6 linked regions of the Sus scrofa genome follow. The protein of the gene in region 1 interacts with the protein of each later gene in a pairwise test. Links are inferred from orthologs where the notes say so. Each region holds a gene or a part of one and is shown on either strand. Other genes may lie near its edges.

Evidence for each region.
Region 2: the proteins of RALBP1 (region 1) and CEP57 interact in binary tests that used the Homo sapiens proteins (3 or more experiments, as listed by UniProt). The two-hybrid records come from large-scale screens. The link is inferred for Sus scrofa from reciprocal best matches to the Homo sapiens genes RALBP1 and CEP57.
Region 3: the proteins of RALBP1 (region 1) and GSE1 interact in binary tests that used the Homo sapiens proteins (3 or more experiments, as listed by UniProt). The link is inferred for Sus scrofa from reciprocal best matches to the Homo sapiens genes RALBP1 and GSE1.
Region 4: the proteins of RALBP1 (region 1) and REPS1 interact in binary tests that used the Homo sapiens proteins (3 or more experiments, as listed by UniProt). The link is inferred for Sus scrofa from reciprocal best matches to the Homo sapiens genes RALBP1 and REPS1.
Region 5: the proteins of RALBP1 (region 1) and GPS2 interact in binary tests that used the Homo sapiens proteins (3 or more experiments, as listed by UniProt). The two-hybrid records come from large-scale screens. The link is inferred for Sus scrofa from reciprocal best matches to the Homo sapiens genes RALBP1 and GPS2.
Region 6: the proteins of RALBP1 (region 1) and TSFM interact in binary tests that used the Homo sapiens proteins (3 or more experiments, as listed by UniProt). The two-hybrid records come from large-scale screens. The link is inferred for Sus scrofa from reciprocal best matches to the Homo sapiens genes RALBP1 and TSFM.

What each region holds. Positions count from the first base shown.
Region 1 is NC_010448.4:98,567,946-98,571,445, reverse strand, and holds part of RALBP1 (ralA-binding protein 1), read left to right. Parts: intron 1-3,058; coding exon 3,059-3,408; intron 3,409-3,500. UniProt on the Homo sapiens protein: Multifunctional protein that functions as a downstream effector of RALA and RALB. As a GTPase-activating protein/GAP can inactivate CDC42 and RAC1 by stimulating their GTPase activity.
Region 2 is NC_010451.4:27,837,070-27,840,569, forward strand, and holds part of CEP57 (centrosomal protein of 57 kDa), read left to right. Parts: intron 1-322; coding exon 323-444; intron 445-3,500. UniProt on the Homo sapiens protein: Centrosomal protein which may be required for microtubule attachment to centrosomes. May act by forming ring-like structures around microtubules. Mediates nuclear translocation and mitogenic activity of the internalized growth factor FGF2, but that of FGF1.
Region 3 is NC_010448.4:3,654,765-3,658,812, reverse strand, and holds the start of GSE1 (genetic suppressor element 1), read left to right. Parts: upstream 1-1,248; 5' UTR 1,249-1,520; coding exon 1,521-3,482; intron 3,483-4,048.
Region 4 is NC_010443.5:25,554,283-25,557,782, forward strand, and holds part of REPS1 (ralBP1-associated Eps domain-containing protein 1), read left to right. Parts: intron 1-559; coding exon 560-678; intron 679-1,619; coding exon 1,620-1,684; intron 1,685-3,500. UniProt on the Homo sapiens protein: May coordinate the cellular actions of activated EGF receptors and Ral-GTPases.
Region 5 is NC_010454.4:52,664,844-52,668,985, reverse strand, and holds GPS2 (G protein pathway suppressor 2), read left to right. Parts: upstream 1-1,342; 5' UTR 1,343-1,453; exon of another isoform or gene 1,454-1,562; intron 1,563-1,639; 5' UTR 1,640-1,708; coding exon 1,709-1,802; intron 1,803-2,174; coding exon 2,175-2,284; intron 2,285-2,361; coding exon 2,362-2,474; intron 2,475-2,609; coding exon 2,610-2,689; intron 2,690-2,776; coding exon 2,777-2,859; intron 2,860-3,034; coding exon 3,035-3,188; intron 3,189-3,295; coding exon 3,296-3,385; intron 3,386-3,491; coding exon 3,492-3,571; intron 3,572-3,657; coding exon 3,658-3,753; intron 3,754-3,926; coding exon 3,927-4,010; 3' UTR 4,011-4,117; downstream 4,118-4,142. UniProt on the Homo sapiens protein: Key regulator of inflammation, lipid metabolism and mitochondrion homeostasis that acts by inhibiting the activity of the ubiquitin-conjugating enzyme UBE2N/Ubc13, thereby inhibiting 'Lys-63'-linked ubiquitination.
Region 6 is NC_010447.5:23,076,087-23,079,586, reverse strand, and holds part of TSFM (elongation factor Ts, mitochondrial), read right to left. Parts: intron 3,347-3,500; coding exon 3,224-3,346; intron 1-3,223. UniProt on the Homo sapiens protein: Associates with the EF-Tu.GDP complex and induces the exchange of GDP to GTP. It remains bound to the aminoacyl-tRNA.EF-Tu.GTP complex up to the GTP hydrolysis stage on the ribosome.

The sequences.
Region 1 (3,500 bases):
TTTGCCCTCTTTCGGAGCCAGAGTTGTGAAACTCCTCTCTCCATGTGTCAGAGCATTCAAACTGAGCTGCTCCCCTGTTGGTTGGCTCCTTGGGGACTGAGCTTCTGCTTTGATCAATTTTGTATTTATTTTTGAAGCTCTGGCAGTGTGCTGTGTTCAGCCCTCTGTGGACTACAGAGTTATGGCTGTGACTTTTCTTTTTGAAGGCTGATAATACTGGTTTCTGCTAGAGAACTTTGGTTCTCATTTATTCACATGTAAGTTCCAGTTGTAAAACTAACAAATTTTGCTTATTGTCTTTCCGTACCTGGGACGCTGTATTTGAAGCGTCCAGTTTTTGCAGGGAAAACATGTTGATAACAAACCAAATTCTTACTCTAAATTGTTCACTGTGCAATCTTCTGAACAGGCATTGCTGGGGGAAAATTTGAAATCTGTGAAATATATATGCGAGAGAGGGAGGAGGTCTTTGTCAAGAATTTCTTTTCTTTTCCGTTTTAGGCTGCACCCATGGAATGTGGAAGTTTCCGGGCTGGGAGTCGAATCAGAACTGCAGCTGCTGACCTATACCACAGCCACAGCAATGCCAGATCTGAGCCACGTGGGCAACCTACACCACAGCTCACAGCAGTGCCGGGTCCTTAACCCACTGAGAGAGGCCAAGGATTGAACCCGGCTCCTCATGGATACTGGTTGGATTCTTAACCCACCGAGCCACAACAGGAACTCCAAGAATTTCAGTTAAAGTTAGGAGTCACCATGTGTTACTTATGAAAGTAGGAAAATAGGAATTAGTTTCTAACTTTCCTGCCTCAAGATAAAGATTGTGAAAAAAATAAGATTCATATTGTTGGAATTCCTCTTGTGGCACAGTGGGATAAGAATCTGACTGCAGTGGCTTGGGTTGCCGCGCAGATGAGAGTTCAGTCTCTGGCCTGGGGATTTCCATATGCCGAGGATGCCTCCATTAAAAAAAAGAAAAGATTCATATTGTTATTTTCATACTCAGAGTTGCTGATTTTATTTCACCAGTGCTGGATAAGTTACTGATGTATTGTGGTCCCATTGAAAGGTTTACACATAAGATAAGAAATTTCAGAGCCCAGAGGTAAGCATAGTTGATTATAAAATTCTCTTCAAATTAAATGACACTGGAGTGTCATTTACATTATAGTCTGTCAGCCTTAATTTGTGGCTTGTTTCCAGTAATTGGCCTGTTTTTGATTTTTTGCTGTTGTTTTTTATTTTTGTTTTGTCATTTTAGGGCCACACCCGTGGCATATGGAGGTTCCCAGGCTAGGGGTCCAATCCGAGCTGTAGCCTCCGGCCTACACCACGGCCACAGTAATGCCAGATCCAAGCTGCATCTTCGACCTACACCACAGCTCACGGCAACTCCGGATCCTTAACCCACTGAGCAGGCCAGGGATAGAACCTGAGTCCTCATGGACCCTAGTCAGATTCATCAACTCTGAGCCACAACAGGGAACTCCTTTTTTTTTTTTTTTAATTGACGCGTAGTTGATGTATAGTGTCATGTGTTTCAGGAGTACAACATGCTGATTCACTATTTTTTTATTTTTTTTATTTTTAATTTTTTTTAATTTTATTTTTTGTCTTTTTGCTATTTCTTTGGGCCGCTCCTGCGGCATATGGAGTTTCCCAGGCTAGGGGTTGAATCGGAGCTGTAGCCCCCGGCCTACGCCAGAGCCACAGCAACGCGGGATCTGAGCCCCATCTGCGACCTACACCACAGCTCACGGCAACGCCGGATCATTAACCCACTGAGCAAGGGCAGGGATCGAACCCGCAACCTCATGGTTCCTAGTCGAATTCGTTAACCACTATGCCGCGACGGGAACTCCTGATTCACTATTTTTAAATGTTGTGTTCCATTTATAGTTATTATAAAATGTTGGCTATATTCCTTTTGCTGTACAGTACAGTCCTTGTAGCTTATTTATTTTATGCGTGGTAGTTTGTACTTCTTAATCCCACCTGTATCTTGCCCCTCCCACCCCCTTTCCCCACTGGTACCACTGATTTGTTTTCTATATCTGTGAGTCTGTTTCTTTTTGTTATATTCACTACTTTGTTTTATCTTTTTAGATTCCACATATAAAGTATTTGTCTTCCTCTGACTTCATTTAGCATAACAACCTCTATCTAGGTCCATCTGTGCTATTACAAATGGTAGAATTTCATCCTTTTTTATAGCTGACCAGTAAATCTTGGCCTAAAGTTTTAAGTGTTAAAAACCACAGAAAGCTACTTTGTACTCATGAGCCATCACTGTCACTGAGTTAGGTCACTTAAGTGCAGATTGGGCTAAAGACTTAATTAAATAGTGTCTGAAAAACATTGGTGTATGTATGTTTCTTTCTGTCTACTAAGAAAAGCAAAACAATTCAATTTTAGTAACCCACATTTTCCTTTTTTTTTTGCTGGTTCCTAGGTTCAGATTAAGAAAACATGCAAAGAATTTAAACTTAAAAATCAGATGGGTATTATTTAATGAGGACCAACAAGAGTTTATATAGATAGTGAACTCACCTTTTGCATTTATTGAACAACTTTACCTTCTAAAAAAGTCATTACCAACAAGTTTTTGGAACAGGCTTACATGTACCAAGTTGCATTTTATGGTGTTAGTCTTGTGACTAGTTCGAAAAAGCAGTTGGCCCCTTGTGTAGAGCAAGGCTTATGCTTGGAGCATAGTTTAGTTTTTGCCAGAATTTGTACCTATCTTTAAGTTAAAAATTTTTTTTTTCCTGAATTGATTGGCATATTTGGTTGCTTTGATTTTTTTTTTCTGAATATTGAGTTTTTTCATTATCATTTCACTTTTGGTTAAAGTCAACCTCCTAGTATAGTCTTTTGTCTTCTCTATGGAGGAACTCTGTGCCGGTAAAAAGCCCCATTAGTGGTTTGTTACTGTCTTGGGGCCTCTTCTCAGACCTCCCTGGGGGGTGGGTGCTGTGGCAAAGGTGGCTGTATGTTTGATTTTTTTTTTCTCCTCTTGACACTTTCCTTCTCATCTGAATTGGAATGTTCTCAGGAATTAAATCCAAGGTGGATGAGCTGAAAGCAGCCTATGACAGAGAGGAGTCTCCCAACCTGGAGGAGTATGAGCCCAACACTGTGGCCAGTTTGCTGAAGCAGTACCTTCGGGACCTGCCTGAAAACCTGCTCACCAAGGAGCTCACGCCCCGCTTTGAGGAGGCCTGTGGGCGGAGCTCGGAGGGTGAGAAGGTACAGGAGCTCCAGCGTCTTTTGTGGGAGCTGCCCGAGTGTAACCAGCTCCTCATCTCCTGGCTCATCGTGCACATGGACCATGTGATCTCCAAGGAGCTGGAAACAAAAATGAACATCCAGAACATTTCTATAGTGCTCAGCCCAACTGTCCAGGTACACGGCCTCTCTGCACTCAAGCTGTGCACACGGGCCCTCTGGGCCAGCCCTGGGGTTTCGGGGACGCGTCCTGTTGCTGAGCCACACAG
Region 2 (3,500 bases), on another chromosome or scaffold:
ATTTAAAATTATTCTGAAAGAAATTCCACATAGGGTTTTCTAGTGCTTAGTATCTGGAGGTTAATTTTATGGGTCATGATAAAATTACATTTTGCTCAGGTGCGTTTTGAGGAACAAGTGCTAATGTCCTGTGTTAGACTGACTGAATTCAGGGCAGATTGGACTAACATACAGAAACAGGCTTAGAGCATCTGAAAAGGGCTTCTAGAGCGCCTGGAAAATATTTGTTATATATGCTGTAGATTTATGTTAAACAGCTTGTTAAAACTAAAACTGTTCTCTGAGCAAACTAATTTCTGCTTTTCTTATGTATTCTTTTTAGAACTGACATCTCAGTTGTTAGCTGCAGAAAATAAATGTAATCTTTTAGAAAAACAATTGGAATACATGCGTAATATGATAAAGCATGCAGAAATGGAGAGGACGTCTGTATTAGAGAAACAGGTATGTCACTTCACAGAGTCAGTCTCAAGAACAATTAAAGAGAGGAGTTCCTGTCGTGGCTCAGTGGTTAACGAACCTGATTAGTCACCATGAGGCTGCAGGTTCAATCCCTGGCCTCGCTTAGTGGGTTAAGGATCCGGCGTTGCCATGAGCTGTGGTGTAGGTCGAAGACGCGGCTCGGATCCCGAGTTGCTGTGGCTGTGGTGTGGGCTGGCAGCTACAGCTCCGAATTCAACCCCTAACCTGGGAACCTCCATATGCCACCAGTACGGCCCTAAAAAGACAGACAAAAAAAAAAGAGAAATTAAAGAGAAAATTAATGTAAAGACATTTTTTTCTCAGTGAGGAGTAATACTGCTGTCATAAACAATTCTTCTATCTTAAAAGATAATAGTACCAATAGTTCATTTTGAAAAACTGCTAGTGGAAGCTTTGAGAAAAATGTGATTTTTTTCTTTAAGCAAAACTATGAAGAGGAGTTTCCTTTGGGGGAGCTCCTCACACGTACTGCCGTATTCTCTGCACTCAGCTTTGATAGCTTCTGCTTGTGAACAGTGTTGACAGCCCAGGACTGAAATTACTCGGGATCAGTTATGGTGTCCAAAAATTTGTTTTGTCTTCATTGTTATTGCTGTATTTGATAGAGTTTTACTTAGAGTTTTTACTAAACTATACATTTAGTTGTGTTTTCAAGTCATGATAAATTCTTTCATACATTATTAAAAGTGTAAATAAGCATGTTATGTACCTCTCTACCCCTTGAGTTTGTTAGACTCAGCACATTTCAGGGTGATTCATACTTTGAAAAAACTCTCTACAATTGTTATTTTAACAAAAATATTTTGCTGTTTTCACACCAGAGGTATTTTTATTTAACCTGCAATATCAGTCTCAAATATATTTTTAAAAGCATATCTCCTTTTCCTATTAGGAACCTAGAATTTGAATTCCTTATGAATATCCCAGTTTCTAGCCATCTTAACTTTATGATGCAAAAGTTGACTGTTTATATGCTTAACATTTCGCTGGATACCATGCAGTATGAAAGAAATTAAATGCTTTCCACCTCAGTCAACTTTGCATCATAGCTGGAGATGTTAGACCTAAAAGAACAGTGTGAATGATAGCACAAGAACATTTTAAGTAGATATTTCAATAATTAATTCTCATGTGTGCTACAGGTCTCTACTATGCCACTGAATTTATTTGTGATCATATTTTTTTGTTTCCAGTTGGGTCCTCTTCAGCCCATCTATTTTTGTTGTTATTTTAATGTACCATTAAACTTTGGTTTTTATTTCCTCCTTTTATCTCTTTGAACACTATAAAAATTCCCAGTCTTGGAGTTCCCCAGTGGCCCAGCAGTTAAGGATGCAGCATTGTTACTGCTATGGCTTGTTGTCACTGCTGAGGCTCAGGTTTGATCCCTGGCTCAGGAACTTCCTCGTGCCATGAATGCAGGGCCTCCCCCCACCCAAAAGAAATCCCAGTCGTCTTTAAATTAACTGATTTTTCTTATGAGAACTGTATATGTATGTTTACATATTTTTTATGATGAGCCCATATTCTTTGGAATTATTTATATTGGGAATTCCATTCTTCTAAGTTGAGTAGGCAGCCTTATAAAGTGATGGTAGATTTGCCTTTGCTGAGGATTTCTGGGTTTCCCTGCTTCTGATCTGCATTTATGATGCCTTTTGGCTTGAGATTCATGAATTGGGCAGATGGTACCTTGTGTGAGATTTATGTCATAGTCCTGGTATGCCTTATACAGCAAGGCTAGTTTTGCCTCATCTAGTATTTGGCTTCAGTATTTGTTCAGTTGCTTTTGAATTCTTTATTTATTTATTTTTTGTCTTTTTGAGGGCCATACCCGTGGCACATGGAGGTTCCCAGGCTTAGGGGTCCAATCAGAGCTGTAGCCGCCAGCCTACACCACAGCCACACCAGAACTAAGCCACGTCTGCGACCAACACCACAGCTCACAGCAACACCGGATCCTGAACCCACTGAGCAAGGCCAGGAATCGAACCCGCAACCTCATGGTTCCTAGTCTGATTCGTTTCTGCTGCACCATGAGGGGAACTTTATCTTTTTTCATCTGCAGGTTTCCCTTTCTTGTCTTCAGATTTCCTGTGTAATTATTATTTCTGTGTTTTGTCTAATATTTTATGTGATGGGATGGGAAAGCAGATGGTCAGCTCAGTCTGCCACATGATTGGAAATGGTAAAACATGATGTACAGTAATATAGCAGCTGTCTTCATGGGGATACTCCAGTTCTCAAGTTAGAAAGCATCCATGAGACAACAGTGAGATGTCTTGACTAACACATCTATTAAACATATATATGTCTTTGAACTAAGCCCTGTTTTCATCATTCTATTTTGAATAGCCTGTTTAATAAGAATACTGAAAGTAAAATATGATTTTTGCCAATTTTTAGCTTAATGTATTATTTTAAGGGCCGTATCTATCTACTAAGGTGATAGGGAATTAATAGTTCACATAAATTCCTGAGAAATTTATTGCTTTATATTACTTGTCATATTCAGATTTCTGTTAGTAGGATACCACTTGCTATAGACTTGCTGTATATGAGCTCACATGCTTAGTGTTTTGGCTTTTTACCAGTAGACCCCAATTTCACATATTTCCTCTTCTTATCCTAGTTTAATGGTATATTCTGTGACTATCAGTCCTTAAATCTGATAGGTTCCAGTCTTTTCAAATCATTGACTAAACCTAAAAAAAAATATGGTGGATGCTTTGCATAGAATTCAGAGGAAGGGGAATTCTTGTCGTGGCACAGTAGGTAACAAATCCAATTAGGAACCATGAGGTTGCGGGTTCAATCCCTGCCCTTGCTCAGTGGGTTACGATCTGGCGTTGCCGTGAGCTGTGGTGTAGGTCGCAAACGCGGCTCAGATCCCGCATTGCTATGGCTCTGGCGTAGGCCAACGGCTATGGCTCCAATTGGACCCCTAGCCTGGGAACCTCCATATGCTGTGGGAGCGGCCCAAGAAATGACAAAAAAAAAAAAAAAAAAAAAGAATT
Region 3 (4,048 bases), about 95 Mb from region 1:
TTAGACTCTGCACCTGGCGCATGCTAAGGTCTCTCTCTGTGTGTTTAAGAAATACATGATCTACACGTGTGACTTGGAACCAGTTAATCCCCTGAAAGGCCCAGACTTGTTGAGTCATCGCCCTGGAACACACAGCCTAGACACACGGGACCCTTTTTGTCCCTGGCCAGCAGTGGGGAGGGGCGGGGCAGCCGAGTCTGTCCCCAGGATGGCTGGTGCATTCACTAAGGTGTTCAGGCCACCAGGAGACAGCCCCTCTTCCCTGTCACCAAAATTAGAACCCTGGGCCCTGAAAGATACCCCGGATCCAGGACTCCTCAGGGCTGTAAAGGGCCCTTTAGATGGGGGTGGGGGGCGGGTGCTGAGACCCTTTGGAATGGGGAGAGGGCCGGCAACAGCCCAGCTCACTGGGCAGCCTCCCTCCTCTAGAGAGCTGCCCTTCCTCGGCGGGCTCTCCGGGGACGCCGGCCGCGTCCTTACCTGGCTCCTCCGGCGTCCTGCCTGACCTTTACTTAAAGACCAGCTCTAGCGGCTGATGGGTTTTCGCGGGTCCCGGAGGAGACCCTTCAGACGGCTCGAGCCTGGCGCGCTGGAGAGAGCCCCCTAATTGGGGCAATGAATCACCGAGCGCGGCTCCCGGCTGGACACAAAATAGATAGAGGAGCCGGCGAGCTATTGTGCGCAGTTTGGGACCGGGGGGGGGGCGGGGGGGGGTTGGGAGGGAGGCAGGGAGGAGGAGGTGGTGGAGGAGGAGGAGGGAGGCGGAGGGGAGGGAGGGGAGGGAGCGCGAGGGAGGGAGTCCCCCGCCCGCCGCGCTCCCGCCCTCCCGCCCTTCCCCTCCCCTCCCCTCCCCTCCCCTCCCCTCCTCCCTCCTCCCCAATTAAATGACCCAACGCTTTGGCAGGCGCCGGAGCTCGCACATGCGGCTGCCGCTCCAGCCGCCCGGGGCCCGCCGCCGCCGCTGCGTTCCGGGCGCGCTCGCCGCGGCGCCGCCGGGGGCTCGGCCGGCCGGGGGGGGCGCCCCTGCGAGCGGCCGAGCGCCCGCGCCCGCGCCGGCCGCCCGCCGCCAAACTTTGCGGCGCGCACACATGCTCCAAGTTGGGCGCGGCGGCGGCGGCGGCGGCGGGCGGTGAGGGCGGCCCGGGGCGCGCGGGGGCCGGCGCGGCGCGGCCATGAGCGGGCGGCCGGCGCCGGTCTCCCGCAAGCAGCGGCTCATGGCAGCCGTGGGCGAGCGGGCGGCGGGCGGCGGCGGCGGCGCGCCGCTCTCCTGCTTCATCTGCGGCGGCGGCATCGGGCGCGGCAAGGAGCTGAAGCTGCAGGTGAAGCAGCCGGCGGCGGCGGCGGGCGCGGGGGCCCCGGCGCAGCCCTTCTTCCCGTTCCTGCAGCAGCAGGAGCCGGCGCCCGGCGCGCGCGAGCTGTCCCCGGCCGACGGCTGCGTGCTGGTGTGCGCCGTGTGCCGCTGCTTCCTGGGCGAGCAGTGGGCCGCCTTCGAGCGCGCCCGCACGCCCGTGGACAAGCGCATGTACTGGCTCAAGCGGCCCCACCAGTGCGACGCGGGCGCGGGCGGGCGCCGCGGGGGCGCCGGGGCCCCCCGCGAGTGGAACGTCGCCTACGCGCTGGGCGGCGCGGCCGACGACGACGAAGACGGCGGCGGCGGCCCCGGGCCCCGCGCGGCCCCCGAGGAGCCTCGAGATTCCGAGCTGTCGGAGCTGTCGGACACAGACCCCTTCTCCGAGCCCGACCCCGCCGCGCGCGACGCCGCCAGTCCCCGCCAGGACGGGGCGCCAGCGGCGCGGGCCGCCCCCGGGCCCGGGCCTCGCGGGGGCCGCTGCCCGGAGTGGAGGCCGGCGCCGGGACCCCCTCCGGGACTGGGCGCGGAGACCCCCACGCCGGGGGACCTGGAGGACGACGGGATCCCCTCGAAGCTCCACGTGGACGGGGAGCCCAGGGCCGGCATCCGGCGCCGGCGCAAGGGCGCTGGGAGGCCCTGGGCCCCAGAGGCCCGGGCCAGCGTCCTGAGGGGCCTTCCGGACCCTTGGCAAAGGCCTCCGGTCCAAGGCGCCCCTGCAGAGGGCGTGAAAGGAGCCCCTCTGGGCAGGGCCGCCAAGACTGCCGAGAGCAAACCGCTGGCGGAGACGCGCGCTTCTGAGGACAGTGACGTCAACATCACCAGCGAGGAGGAGGACCGCAAGGAGCAGCCTCTCCCAGGCCCCTGCTGCCCCAGAGACCAGGACGCCGCTGGCGGGGGCCGTGCCCCCCGGGCTCCCCTGGAGAGCCGGGCTGCACCACCAGAGGGCCTTTGCTGCTACATCTGTGGGTGTGCGCTGTCCCCGGCCTCGCAGCACCAGATCCACGTGCAGAAGCAGGAGAAGCTGGCCCAGGCGCCCTTCTTCCCCTTCCTGTGGCTGCACAGCCCGCCCCCGGGGGCGCAGCCCATCAGCGAGGGTGGCAGCACCCTGGTGTGCCCCTGCTGCTTCTCCTCCCTCATGCAGCAGTGGCAAAGCTTCGAACTGGCCAACGTGCCGGTCCTGCAGCGGCTCTACGTGGTGCCCCTGAACAGCCACGCTCCCGGCATGGCCTCCAAGGGCAGGAGGCTCCCCAGGGAAGAGGGCCCGCCTGCCGGGGCCCTGCCAGAGGCCTGCTACCTCTGCGGGGAGGACTGTACGCGGGATGCCCGGGCCGTGGCCTGCAGGACCCTCAACGGCAACGCCAGGGGCTCCATGCATTTCCCGTTTCTCAGCCTCCTGCCCTGCCCGCCCAACGCCCAGGGCCCCAACAAGCGCTGTGAGGTCCGCAGCTGCCCCAAGTGCTTCAGCGTCCTGGAGGACGTGTGGGCCCTGTACCGGGCCTGCCAGAACGAGGAGCTCATCACCTCTGTGCAGGGCTTCTTGGGCCGGTACCACCAGGCCTTCTCAGCCTCGGACCCTGCGCTCTGCGAGCCGCCCGCCTCGGCCCAGGGTGGCCCGGCCTCCGTCTGCTACATCTGCGGGGCCGAGCTGGGCCCCGGCAAGGAGTTCCAGCTCAACGTGAACCCCTCCAGCCGCCTGGGCGAGAAGGAGCCCTTCTTCCCCTTCCTCACTGTCTACCCGCCGGCCCCGCGCGCCAGGCCTGCCGACTCCACCGGCCTGGTGGCCACCTGCGTGCTCTGTTACCATGACCTGCTGGGCCAGTGGCTGCAGCACGAGGCCCGCAGCGCCCCCCACGCCATCAGCCCCTGGTCACGGCAGTACCAAGTGGAGATATTCGTGTGCTTCTTCTGCCAGCAGGAGAAGAAGCGGTGTCTCGGGCTCAAGGCCGTGCGGGTGGCCCGGCTGCCCTTGTTTCTGTACACCCTTCGAGCGAGCCACAGCCTGCTCGTGGACGATGGGCGACAGCTGATCATCGGCGCCTGCACGGAGTGCGGGACCCTGGTGTGTGCTGGCCAAGGGCTCACCCGCCAGGGACCCACGGGCTGGAGCTCCCCAGGGGCGGCGGCGAGGAAGGTAAGCAGCTCCGTTCTCGTGTCCTCCTCTGAAACCCGAGCAGGGAAGGAGGCGATGTTGTTTTCTGCACCGCTGCTGGAGAGGAGAGGGGTTTTGCGCCCCGTGTGGTCCAGCAGGAGGGGCGCTCCCCCTGCCCCAGGTCACCCGGCCAGGGCTCAGTGAGCACGCTGACCTGGTTGAGCTCGGAAGCGTGTGACAGGCCAGAGGAGTTGGGAGGCCAGGAGTGGCCTCGTGGAAGAATAGGGCAGTACTGAAAGCAGCAGGCATGAGCCTGAACTTGAGTGTTTGCAGCGGAATCTATCAAACAGAGGAAGTTCGGGGCACGTCTGTCATCCGCCTGATAACATTGGTAATTAGTCCAGCCACGCAGGTCACCGAGAGGTCTCGGCACTCACCCGGTTTGAAACACATCAGAGGTGGAAGTTCCTCTCGACTCTCACTCCCACTCAGTGTAGCTTTTCCAGAATTTTCCACCCAAGTTCACACTTTCCCTCTGAGGCTCTCTGGTTGCTTAAGAGCAGATGGAGACAGATTTCCAGACGTGGGGGTTTGGGACCCCGGGGACG
Region 4 (3,500 bases), on another chromosome or scaffold:
TCCTATGAGGATCAGACTTCCAGAATCTTTAAGACTCTTTTCAGAATATGGAAGACTTCACTGGCCAATTAGTGAATCTTGAGAGAGAATTGAGCATGAGTGTAATCACCTATAAAATGAGGTGGCCTTTGGTAACACAGGAATGGGCACTTCACATAGTTGAGCTGGATTCTACCTCTGCTTATCAGACTTTAAGTTGAAAGCTAACCATATCTAAAGTAGAGTTTCTCTTTTATGAAAATAGTTTTTTGGGCTAATATTACTTTTAACTGAATGTGAAAACATTACACTACATTAGAAGTTTATCTTCAATTCATGTTAATAACTTATTTTTTTGAAATGTTATAGGTATAATTATACTTTATAAAGTTTATTTGCCATATTAAACACTAGTTGAATGCACGTCATAGGCAGTACTCTTTGGTTTATTATGATACTGTATATCATCTGTTGAAAATGTCACACCAATAAAATCCTTTGCTGCTTAGCTAAGTTTGAAATCTTGAAAAGAAAAGTTCCAATACCAATAGCACAACCATTGTAATGGGGAATTTTGCAGGTCTCAGTCAGGAACGTCGCCTGATAACACTGCACCACCACCTCCCCCTCCAAGGCCTCAGCCCTCTCATTCTAGATCATCATCTTTAGATATGAATCGGACCTTTTCAGTCACCACAGGTAGGGGTTAGAGAACCATAATATATGCTATATTAAATTAAAGATACCAAGTTTTTTAATATAAAGTTAAAAAGGTACACTGTATTGTACTTTATTTTCTCTTTATATATCTTATTTTTTTGATTGAAGAAAAATTTTGAATTGAAAAAATAGCAGATGAGAGGGAATTTCTTCTCTTTAATGACTTAGCTAAAATATGTTTGAGTTTGGAGTTCCCATCGTGGCGCAGTGGTTAACAAATCCGACTAGGAACCATGAGGTTGCGGGTTCGATCCCTGGCCTTGCTCAGTGGGTTAAGGATCCGGTGTTGCCGTGAGCTGTGGTGTAGGTGGCAGACACGGCTTGGATCCCACGTTGCTGTGGCTCTGGCGTAGGCCAGTGGCTACAGCTCCAGTGAGACCCCTAGCCTGGGAACCTCCATATGCCGCGGGAGCGGCCCAAGCAATAGCAGAAAGACAAAAAATAAATAAATAAAATAAAATATTTTTGAGTTCAAATGATAAAGATGAGACCCTGAAAGATGCCACTAGAAATTTTAGAAGAACAGAGGGTGACAGTGTTCTGTTTTGGATGTTATGAGTTTGGAATGTCTAAGAAAGGGAAATAATCAACAGGCCATTGGACTTGTGGGCCAAGAAAGATTGATGTATTATTTGAGAATCGTTTACATAGAAATGATAGACTGGAGCATTAAATGAAAAGAGAAAACTTGGAAGTCTTCGTGTTTGATAGCTAAAGAGCAGTCAGAAATATGGGAAGCAAACCAAAAAATGAATAGCGTTGTGGGAACAGGGAGCAAGAAGTCAAGAATGCCTCAGGCGATAGAACAAGAGAAGAACTGAGGTCTTAGAAATCTTTATCATTTGATCACGTTCAGCCTGTCTGTTCTACTAGGAAAGTAAGTATATATTTACTAAAAAGAAGACTATGTGTTCACACAGGACAGCAACAGGCTGGAGTTGTTGCCCAACCTCCTGCAGTGCCTCCCAGACCACAGCCCTCACAGGTAATTCTCGTAGGTATTCATTATTAAACATCAGTTGTTATAGTCCCCTCTATCAATTTGTCTGTTAGATATTCGATTCAATTCTAGAATTATTTTGAAGGTGGAGGATTTCATAATTATTATTCTTAATGTACATTTAATTCAGGGAAGCCAGGTCTTATTTTAGAAGATAAGAATTCTAATGATTTATTTTTTGAAGAAGCTTAAAAGTGAACCAAATGATAACGTCTTGACAAAGGAGGCTTTAGTGCGAAGCACAATGGATTGAGAGATAGGAGAAGTCCATGTATGTCCTGGATCTAGCAGAGGACTCAGAGTGACCTCGCTGCATCCCCCTGAATGTGTTAGATGAAGGAAGTGTTAGATGACTTCTGCCCCCCTCCTTGGTTGACGTTATTTTCGTCTGCATAAAACTAGTATGTTCTGAGATAGAGTCTGCATTCTAGCTTAGTTTTATGTGACTGACCTTTTTACATGATGAATTTGGTTGATTTTTCTGAATTAGATTCTTACAATGAAATTGGTTATTTGCAGGTTAAAAGATGGTTTCCTAATCATCAAAGATACTGAAATATTGAATACTGAATATTCCAGTATTTATTTTATCTAACGTGCCAACAGAAGTACATGTACTGGATAATGAGTTGGTCTCTTGTCTCAAGTGGGAAAGACAAATCTGTAAACAACAATCATAGAGGTGCTGCAGTAGACATATTTGTAAAATGCTTTGGCACAGCTTTCCTAGCTAGTAAAGTCAGGGATCACATGGAAAAGGACTAAGGAAATGAAGGTAGTTAGACTTGAGCATAGACTTGAAAGATAAAATGCTGTTTCTTGGGGAGAGAGGGCATTACCACCAGAAAGGCATCCACAGTAAGTAAGCCTGGCATTTTCTTCAGGGAAAAACCATTGAGTTCAGTACAACTAGAGAGATGGCAAAGGAAATTGAAGAGGTGGGAAAGGACAGAGCATTTCCTATATTATACTAAGAAGGAAGAATTTTTAAAAGATACAGGGAATTTTTAAAGAGTAAGCAAGGATAAGAAACTTCAGGAGTTCCCGTCGTGGCGCAGTGGTTAACGAATCCGACTAGGAACCATGAGGTTGCGGGTTCGGTCCCTGCCCTTGCTCAGTGGATTAACGATCTGGCGTTGCCATGAGCTGTGGTGTAGGTTGCAGACGTGGCTCGGATCCCGCATTGCTGTGGCTCTGGCGTAGGCCGGTGGCTACAGCTCCGATTGACCCCTAGCCTGGGAACCTCCATATGCCGTGGGAGCGGCCCAAGAAATAGCAACAACAACAACAACAACAAAGACAAAAGACAAAAAAAAAAAAGAAAGAAAGAAACTTCAGACTTATTTCTGTAGCATCTCTACTCCTTTGCATAGAACTTCTCACACTGTATTTTAATTCCTTTGTTTACTTACCTCTTAGGCACTAGACTCTCAGCTTTATTAGGGCATGGACCTTATTTGCTTGTTCACTATTATATCTGTAGTGTTTGATCAAAGTAAATATTCAATAAGTTTATTTTTCGATTGAAGGTTTTAGAAGAATTGATCTGGCCAAGGAGTGGAGGACGAACTGAGGGAAAGCACACTGGAGTGTCAGAGACTAGTTAGAGCACTGCTTTACTTTTTTTTTTTTTTTTTTTTTTTGTCTTTTGTAGGCCCGCCCCTGCAGCATATGGAGGTTCCCAGGCTAGGGGTCGAATCGGAGCTGTAGCCATCGGCCTACCCCAGAGCCACAGCAACTCGGGATCCAAGCCACGTCTGCAACTTACATCACAGCTCACAGCATCACCAGATCCTTAACA
Region 5 (4,142 bases), on another chromosome or scaffold:
GGTGGGATTTGGAGTTCCCGTCGTGACTCAGTGGTTAATGAATCCGACTAGGAACCGTGAGGTTTCGGGTTCCATCCCTGGCCTTGCTCAGTGGGTTAAGGATCCGGCGTTGCCGTGAGCTGTGGTGTAGGTTGCAGATGTGGCTCGGATCCCACTTGCTGTGGCTCTGGCGTAGGCCGGTGGCTACAGCTCTAATTAGACCCCTAGCCTGGGAATCTCCTTATGCCATGGGAACGGGCCTAAAAAAAGAAGAAGGTGGGATTTGAGCAAAGGCCTGGAGAGGGGAGGGGAGGGAGCGAGGGGAGCGGGCATGGGAGGAAGACCCTTGGGAGGAAAGGGCGGAGCCAAGTCCCAGTAAGGAGGGGCTGATGCCTGGCAACAGCAAGGCCAGCTGCTCAGGCTCGCGGTCACCGTCAGGGCGGTGGTTGCAGCCAGCAAGAGCGAGGGGTACTGGGAGCAGAGGCCTCACTGTCCCGTTTCTGCTTCTTGCCTGCCAGATTCCGGGACCCCAAATCCCAGCGGACGCACCAGGCCCAGGTGGCGTTCCAGGTGTGCGTGCGCCCTGGCTCCTACACCCCCGGGCCCCCTTCTGCTGCCCTCAGAGAGCCTCCCGACCCTCACTTCAGCCCAGCTGAACTCGAGTGGGTGACCAAGGAGAAGGGGGCCACGCTCCTCTATGCCCTGCTGGTACGGGTGGAATGAGGGGTGACACCGCACTACGACAAGCACAGCAGGGCCTTGGGCCCGTGGACTCTGAGTGACGACTGCCTCCACCTCATTCCAGTGACGCGCGGCATGCACGGTGCTCAGCCTGGCAGATGCACAGGAGCATGTAGGCGGGCTCGCAGAGGAGCGCCCGGGGCCGGGACTGGACAGCCCCTCGAGGCGAGGGCGGCGAGGGGTCCGGCCGCCGGCCCTGGGGAACCCTCTCCATGCACTGATCTGGGGAGCGCGCCTCCCCGCCACTCCTCCCCCTACACTTAATTTATTTCCGTTTCTGTTCCTGGTTACTGTGAAGGCCAGAGGCGCCTCCCCGCGCCCCACACGAAGCTGCTTTTCCGGGCCGGGCGGGAGTGGGGAAGGCGGGCGCGGGTCGGGGCCTCTGTACAGTTGTTACTGACTCTGATTTCTAAGGAGCCAATAAACGCCGTCTCAGAGCAGCCGCCTTGGCCTCTCGCGCGCGCGCCTCTCGGTCCCCCCCGCCCCGACCCGGGAGGAGACCCGGCCCCGCCACGTCAGGGGCTCCGCCCTCGGGGTCGACGCCGGGCGGGGCGCAGCGGAGGCGTTTGGACGCCGCGGGCACCCGTCGCCCGCGCTTCCGCCTTCCCGCCCCGCCCCGCCGGCCCGCGAGCGCCGCGACAGCCTCGACTCCGGAAGGATTCGGCCCAGCGGCCGGATGTGACGCCACGGCCCAGGCGCTCGGGAGGCCGCGGAGAAAGCGACGAGAAGACGGGTAGGGAGGGGCCGGCGCCCGGGTAGCGGGCAGGGAGCGGGAGCGCCGAGGCCGAGACCCCCGCCCGCGCTCGCGGAGGAGCCGCGCTGTTAGGCCGGCCCGGCGGCAGGCACGTGACCGGGGCGGCGGGCGAGTGGCTTCCGCCCCGGCCTGGTCCGCTCCCTCTGAGCGCCCGCCTCCCCGCAGGCCCGGTCTGAGGTCTGGCAGCCAGTGACAGAGCCGGGCGTCCACGGCCCGAGCGCCCCCAGCAGCACCATGCCTGCGCTCCTGGAGCGCCCCAAGCTTTCCAACGCCATGGCCAGGGCGTTGCACCGGCACATCATGATGGAGCGGGAGCGCAAGCGGCAGGGTGAGCTGGGGCCAGAGCGGGAGGACGCACGGCCCGGGGCGCGCTGCTCTCCCGGGGCTGACCCCGACCTACGGGCAGACCCTGCGCGGCGGCCACAGCTAGAGGAGGGACCGATAGCCCCGACGTGGCGGGAGTCTGAGGCCAGATCTAAACTCCAGAACCGTGAGCTGGCAAGGACCTTGGAGAGCACCTAACAAACTTCCCTGTCCCCAGTGTCCTCTTGCAGTGGTGGGCAAACCTGTTTCTTTTAGAGGGAAAGAGTTCGTACCAAGTGTAGTGGGATACCAGTTTTTGCTGGCTTTCAATCGCTAACATTCTAATCTTTTAACCACTCTGCCACTTCCCCATTCTGCCTGACTCTGACTCTTCCAGAGGAAGAAGAGGTGGACAAGATGATGGAACAAAAGATGAAGGAAGAGCAGGAGAGAAGGAAAAAAAAGGAAATGGAAGAGAGAATGTCACTAGAGGAGACCAAGGAACAAGTAAGCAGTCCCTTGATCTCTCCCCAGCCCTTTCTGCCCTTGGCTCTCTTGCTTTCATCCCTCTCCTTCCTTCCCAGATCCTGAAGTTGCAGGAGAAGCTTTCGGCCCTCCAGGAAGAGAAGCACCAGCTTTTCCTGCAGCTCAAGAAAGTTTTACATGAGGAAGAAAAACGGAGGCGGAAGGAGCAGAGGTGAGATTGGGCAGCTAAAAATAAAATTGGGGCCCAAAGTCTAACTGGGATCAGGTAACAAGAGATCAAGTTTTTTGCGGGAGCGGAGAGGGGAAAAGGCTTGCCTTTGATCTGATGTGCCTGCCTCTTGTTCAGTGACCTGACCACTCTGACATCGGCAGCATACCAGCAAGGCCTGACTGTTCACACAGGAACTCACCTCCTCAGCATGCAGGGTGAGGATTAAAGAAACCACTTGTCAGATGGGCCTTCCTGGGGGTTGCAGCCTCTTCTTGCAGCATCACAAGCCCGTCTCCCTCTAGGGAGCCCCGGAGGACACAATCGGCCAGGCACCCTCATGGCAGCTGACAGAGCCAAACAGATGTTCGGCCCCCAAGTGCTTACAGTAAGAGCAGGAGGACTGGGTATCTAGGCTGTCATTTACTCCCGCTACTTCCAGCCGGCCTCGCATCCTTACCCAACCAGCATTCAAGTCATGAGTGTGTTGGGGAAATGGGGCTTTCAGTCACTCAAGTTTTTGCTTCATGGAGTTTACAGTGGTTCTCGTCCTCCCTCCTTAGAACCGACACTACGTGGGCTCAGCAGCTGCTTTCGCAGGGACCCCGGAGCATGGGCAGTTCCAAGGCAGCCCCGGCGGCGCCTATGGGACTGCTCAGCCCCCACCTCACTATGGACCCACCCAGCCTGCCTATAGTCCTAGTCAGCAGCTCAGAGGTGAGCCTTGGGCAAAGGGGAGGAGGGGCATTCCTCAAGGCTCTAAGGGAGGAGTGTTGTGAACAGGCTACCAGGAGGTCCTAATGGCTGTCTCCTGCCTTCCTCAGCACCTTCGGCATTTCCTGCAGTGCAGTACCTGTCTCAGCCACAGCCACAGCCCTATGCTGTGCACAGCCACTTTCAGCCCACCCAGACAGGTGATGGTAGACAGACACCACGCAGGGGCCCAGTTCCAGCGGTCCTCCTCCCTTCCTCTTCGCCTCCTTTCTCTACTCACCTCACACACCCTTCCTCCCCACCTAGGCTTCCTCCAGCCCGGTGGCGCCCTGTCCTTACAAAAGCAGATGGAACACGCTAACCAACAAACTGGCTTCTCTGACTCAGTGAGTAAAATCTTGGGAAGTCAGGGGAAGGGCTGCCCACACTAAGGGGAGCCCCAGGCTGCCTCAGCTGACTTTGTTCTCTGCAGTCCTCCCTACGCCCCATGCATCCCCAAGCTCTGCATCCAGCCCCTGGACTGCTTGCCTCACCCCAGCTCCCTGTGCAGATGCAACCAGCAGGAAAGGTAAGCCCACCAGAATGCCTACATCACCAAGTTGAAAAAAGGACTGGGTAGGACAGGTGGTCCCTGCCCCCCTTTTTCCCTCCTCCTCTGCCATGGCTGTCAGTCCCCTGCGGGAGTAGAAGGAAGGGGAAGGGCGCGCACTGACAAAGCCCTCCTCTCATTACTGCTGCCAGTCGGGCTTTGCAACCACCAGCCAGCCTGGCCCTCGGCTCCCCTTCATCCAGCACAGCCAGAACCCGCGATTCTACCACAAGTGACCATCAGAGTCTATCAACCTCGCTCCCAGCCCCTGCCCCCTACTGTGGGGGAGGATCCCTGGTGTGCCTCAGTCCCAGGCCAATAAAATCTACCTGCCACTGCCCCCGATGCTGCTACTGTCTGTGTTACCT
Region 6 (3,500 bases), on another chromosome or scaffold:
AAGGTGAACAAAATTGACAAACCCCTGGCCAGACTCACTAAAAAGAGGAGAGAAAGAACCCAAATAACCAAAATTAGAAATGAAAAAGGAGAAATCACAACGGATACAGCAGAAATACAAAAAACCATAAGAGAATACTATGAACAACTGTATGGCAACAAGTTTGACAATCTGGAAGAAATGGACAATTTTCTAGAATCTTACAGCCTGCCAAAACTGAATCAAGCAGAAACAGACCAGCTGAACAGACCGATCACTAGAAATGAAATTGAAGAGGTCATAAAATCACTCCCTACAAATAAAAGTCCAGGACCAGATGGCTTCACAGGTGAATTTTATCAAACATATAAAGAGGAATTGGTGCCCATCCTCCTTAAACTCTTTCAAAAGGTAGAAGAAGAAGGAATACTCCCAAAGACATTCTATGAGGCCACCATCACCCTCATTCCAAAACCAGACAGAGATACCACCAAAAAAGAAAACTATCGGCCAATACCATTGATGAATATAGATGCAAAAATTCTCAACAAAATCTTAGCCAACCGAATCCAACAACATACCAAAAAAATTATACACCATGACCAGGTTGGGTTCATCCCAGGTTCACAAGGATGGTTCAACATACACAAATCAATCAGCATCATACACCACATTAACAAAAAAAAAGTCAAAAATCATATGATCATCTCAATAGATGCAGAAAAAGCATTTGACAAAGTTCAACATCCATTCATGATCAAGACCCTCGCCAAAGTGGGTATAGAGGGAACATTCCTGAATATAATCAAAGCCATTTATGATAAACCCACAGCAAATGTAATACTCAATGGGGAAAAACTGAAAGCCTTCTCACTCAAATCTGGAACAAGACAGGGATGCCCACTCTCACCACTGCTCTTCAACATCGTTTTGGAAGTCTTAGCCACAGCAATTAGACAAACAAAAGAAATAAAAGGCATCCATATAGGAAGAGAAGAGATCAAACTGTCACTGTATGCAGATGACATGATACTATACCTAGAAAACCCTAAGGACTCAACCCCAAAACTCCTTGAACTGATTAATAAATTCAGCAAAGTGACAGGATATAAGATTAACATTCAGAAGTCAGTTGCATTTCTGTATACCAGCAATGAAACATTAGAAAAGGAATACAAAAATACGATACTTTTTAAAATTGTACCTCACAAAATCAAATACCTCGGAATACACCTGACCAAAGAGGTAAAGGACCTATATGCCGAGAACTATAAAACTTTAATCAAAGAAATCAAAGAAGATGTAAAGAAATGGAAAGATAATTCCATGTTCCTGGATTGGGAAAATTAATATTGTAAAAATGGCCATACTACCCAAAGCAATATACAGATTCAATGCAATCCCTATCAAATTACCCATGACATTTTTCACAGAACTAGAACAAACAATCCAAACATTTATATGGAACCACAAAAGACCCAGAATCGCCAAAGCAATCCTGAGAAACAAAAACCAAGCAGGAGGCATAACTCTCCCAGACTTCAAGAAATACTACAAAGCCACAGTCATCAAAACAGTGTGGTACTGGTATCAAAACAGACAGACAGACCAATGGAACAGAATAGAGAATCCGGAAATAAACCCTGACACCTATGGTCAATTAATCTTTGACAAGGGAGGCAAGAACATAAAATGGGAAAAGGAAAGTCTATTCAGCAAGCATTGCTGGGAAACCTGGACAGCTGCATGCAAAGCAATGAAACTAGAACACACCCTCACACCATGCACAAAAATAAACTCCAAGTGGCTGAAAGACTTAAATATAAGACAGGACGCCATCAAACTCCTAGAAGAAAACATAGGCAAAACACTCTCTGACATCAACATCATGAGTATTTTCTCAGGTCAGTCTCCCAAAGCAATAGAAATTAGAGCAAAAATAAACCCATGGGACCTCATCAAACTGAAAAGCTTTTGCACAGCAAAGGAAACCCAAAAGAAAACAAAAAGACAACTTACAGAATGGGAGAAAATAGTTTCAAATGATGCAACTGACAAGGGCTTAATCTCTAGAATATATAAGCAACTTATACAACTCAACAGCAAAAAAACCAATCAATCAATGGAAAAATGGGCAAAAGACCTGAATAGACATTTCTCCAAAGAAGATATACAGATGGCCAACAAACACATGAAAAAATGCTCAACATCGCTGGTTATAAGAGAAATGCAAATCAAAACTACCATGAGATACCACCTCACACCAGTCAGAATGGCCATCATTCATAAGTCCACAAATAACAAGTGCTGGAGGGGGTGTGGAGAAAAGGGAACCATCCTGCACTGCTGGTGGGAATGTAAACTGGTACAGCCACTATGGAGAAGAGTTTGGAGATACCTTAGAAATCTATACATAGAACTTCCATATGACTCTGCAATCCCACTCTTGGGCATCTATCCAGACAAAGCTCTACTTAAAAGAGACACATGCACCCGCATGTTCATTGCAGCACTATTCACAATAGCCAGGACATGGAAACAATCCAAATGTCCATCGACAGATGATTGGATTCGGAAGATGTGGTATATATACACAATGGAATACTACTCAGCCATAAAAAAAGGATGACACAATGCCATTTGCAGCAACATGGATGGAACTAGAGAATCTCATCCTGAGTGAAATGAGCCAGAAAGACAAAGACAAATACCATATGATATCACTTCTAACTGGAATCTAATATCCAGCACAAATGAACATCTCCTCAGAAAAGAAAATCATGGACTTGGAGAAGAGACTTGTGGCTGCCTGATGGGAGGGGGAGGGAGTGGGAGGGATCGGGAGCTTGGGCTTATCAGACACAACTTAGAATAGATTTACAAGGAGATCCTGCTGAATAGCATTGAGAACTATGTTTAGATACTCATGTTGCAACAGAAGAAAGGGTGGGGGAAAAACTGTAATTGCAATGTATACATGTAAGGATAACCTGACCCCCTTGCTGTACAGTGGGAAAATAAAAAAAAAAAAAAAAAAAAAAATGTACTGTAACAAAAACTATATAAGCACTATAACAAAAAATTTCACATGAAGCAAGATAAGGGGATAAAACAATAGAAAGGTACTCCTCTCCAGAGAGGTAACATTTAAGTAGAGACATGAAATAAGAAAGTAAGACATGACGATGTCTGAAAAACTGGAATAGGAACAAATCCAGCATGTTGGAGACAACTCCAAACTCACTTTACTATACGTGGAGAGTGGATCCTTTAGGCTCTGACAGTGCAACAGGGTTCCCAGGGCTACTTGCTGGACCAATTGTTGAAATTTTAAGTTTCTGGAAACAAAATCTGTCTCACAGTTTACCTGTGGGAAGAAATTCATATTGCTGTGTAAGCTGTTTAATCACCATTTCCAAAAATGTCTTAAACCAAAGTATTGACAGAACAAGCAGCAGACTCAACAAAACAGAAATAAATGTCTCTAGGATTCTAAAGCTACAGTCCCTCTGCTAACGTGA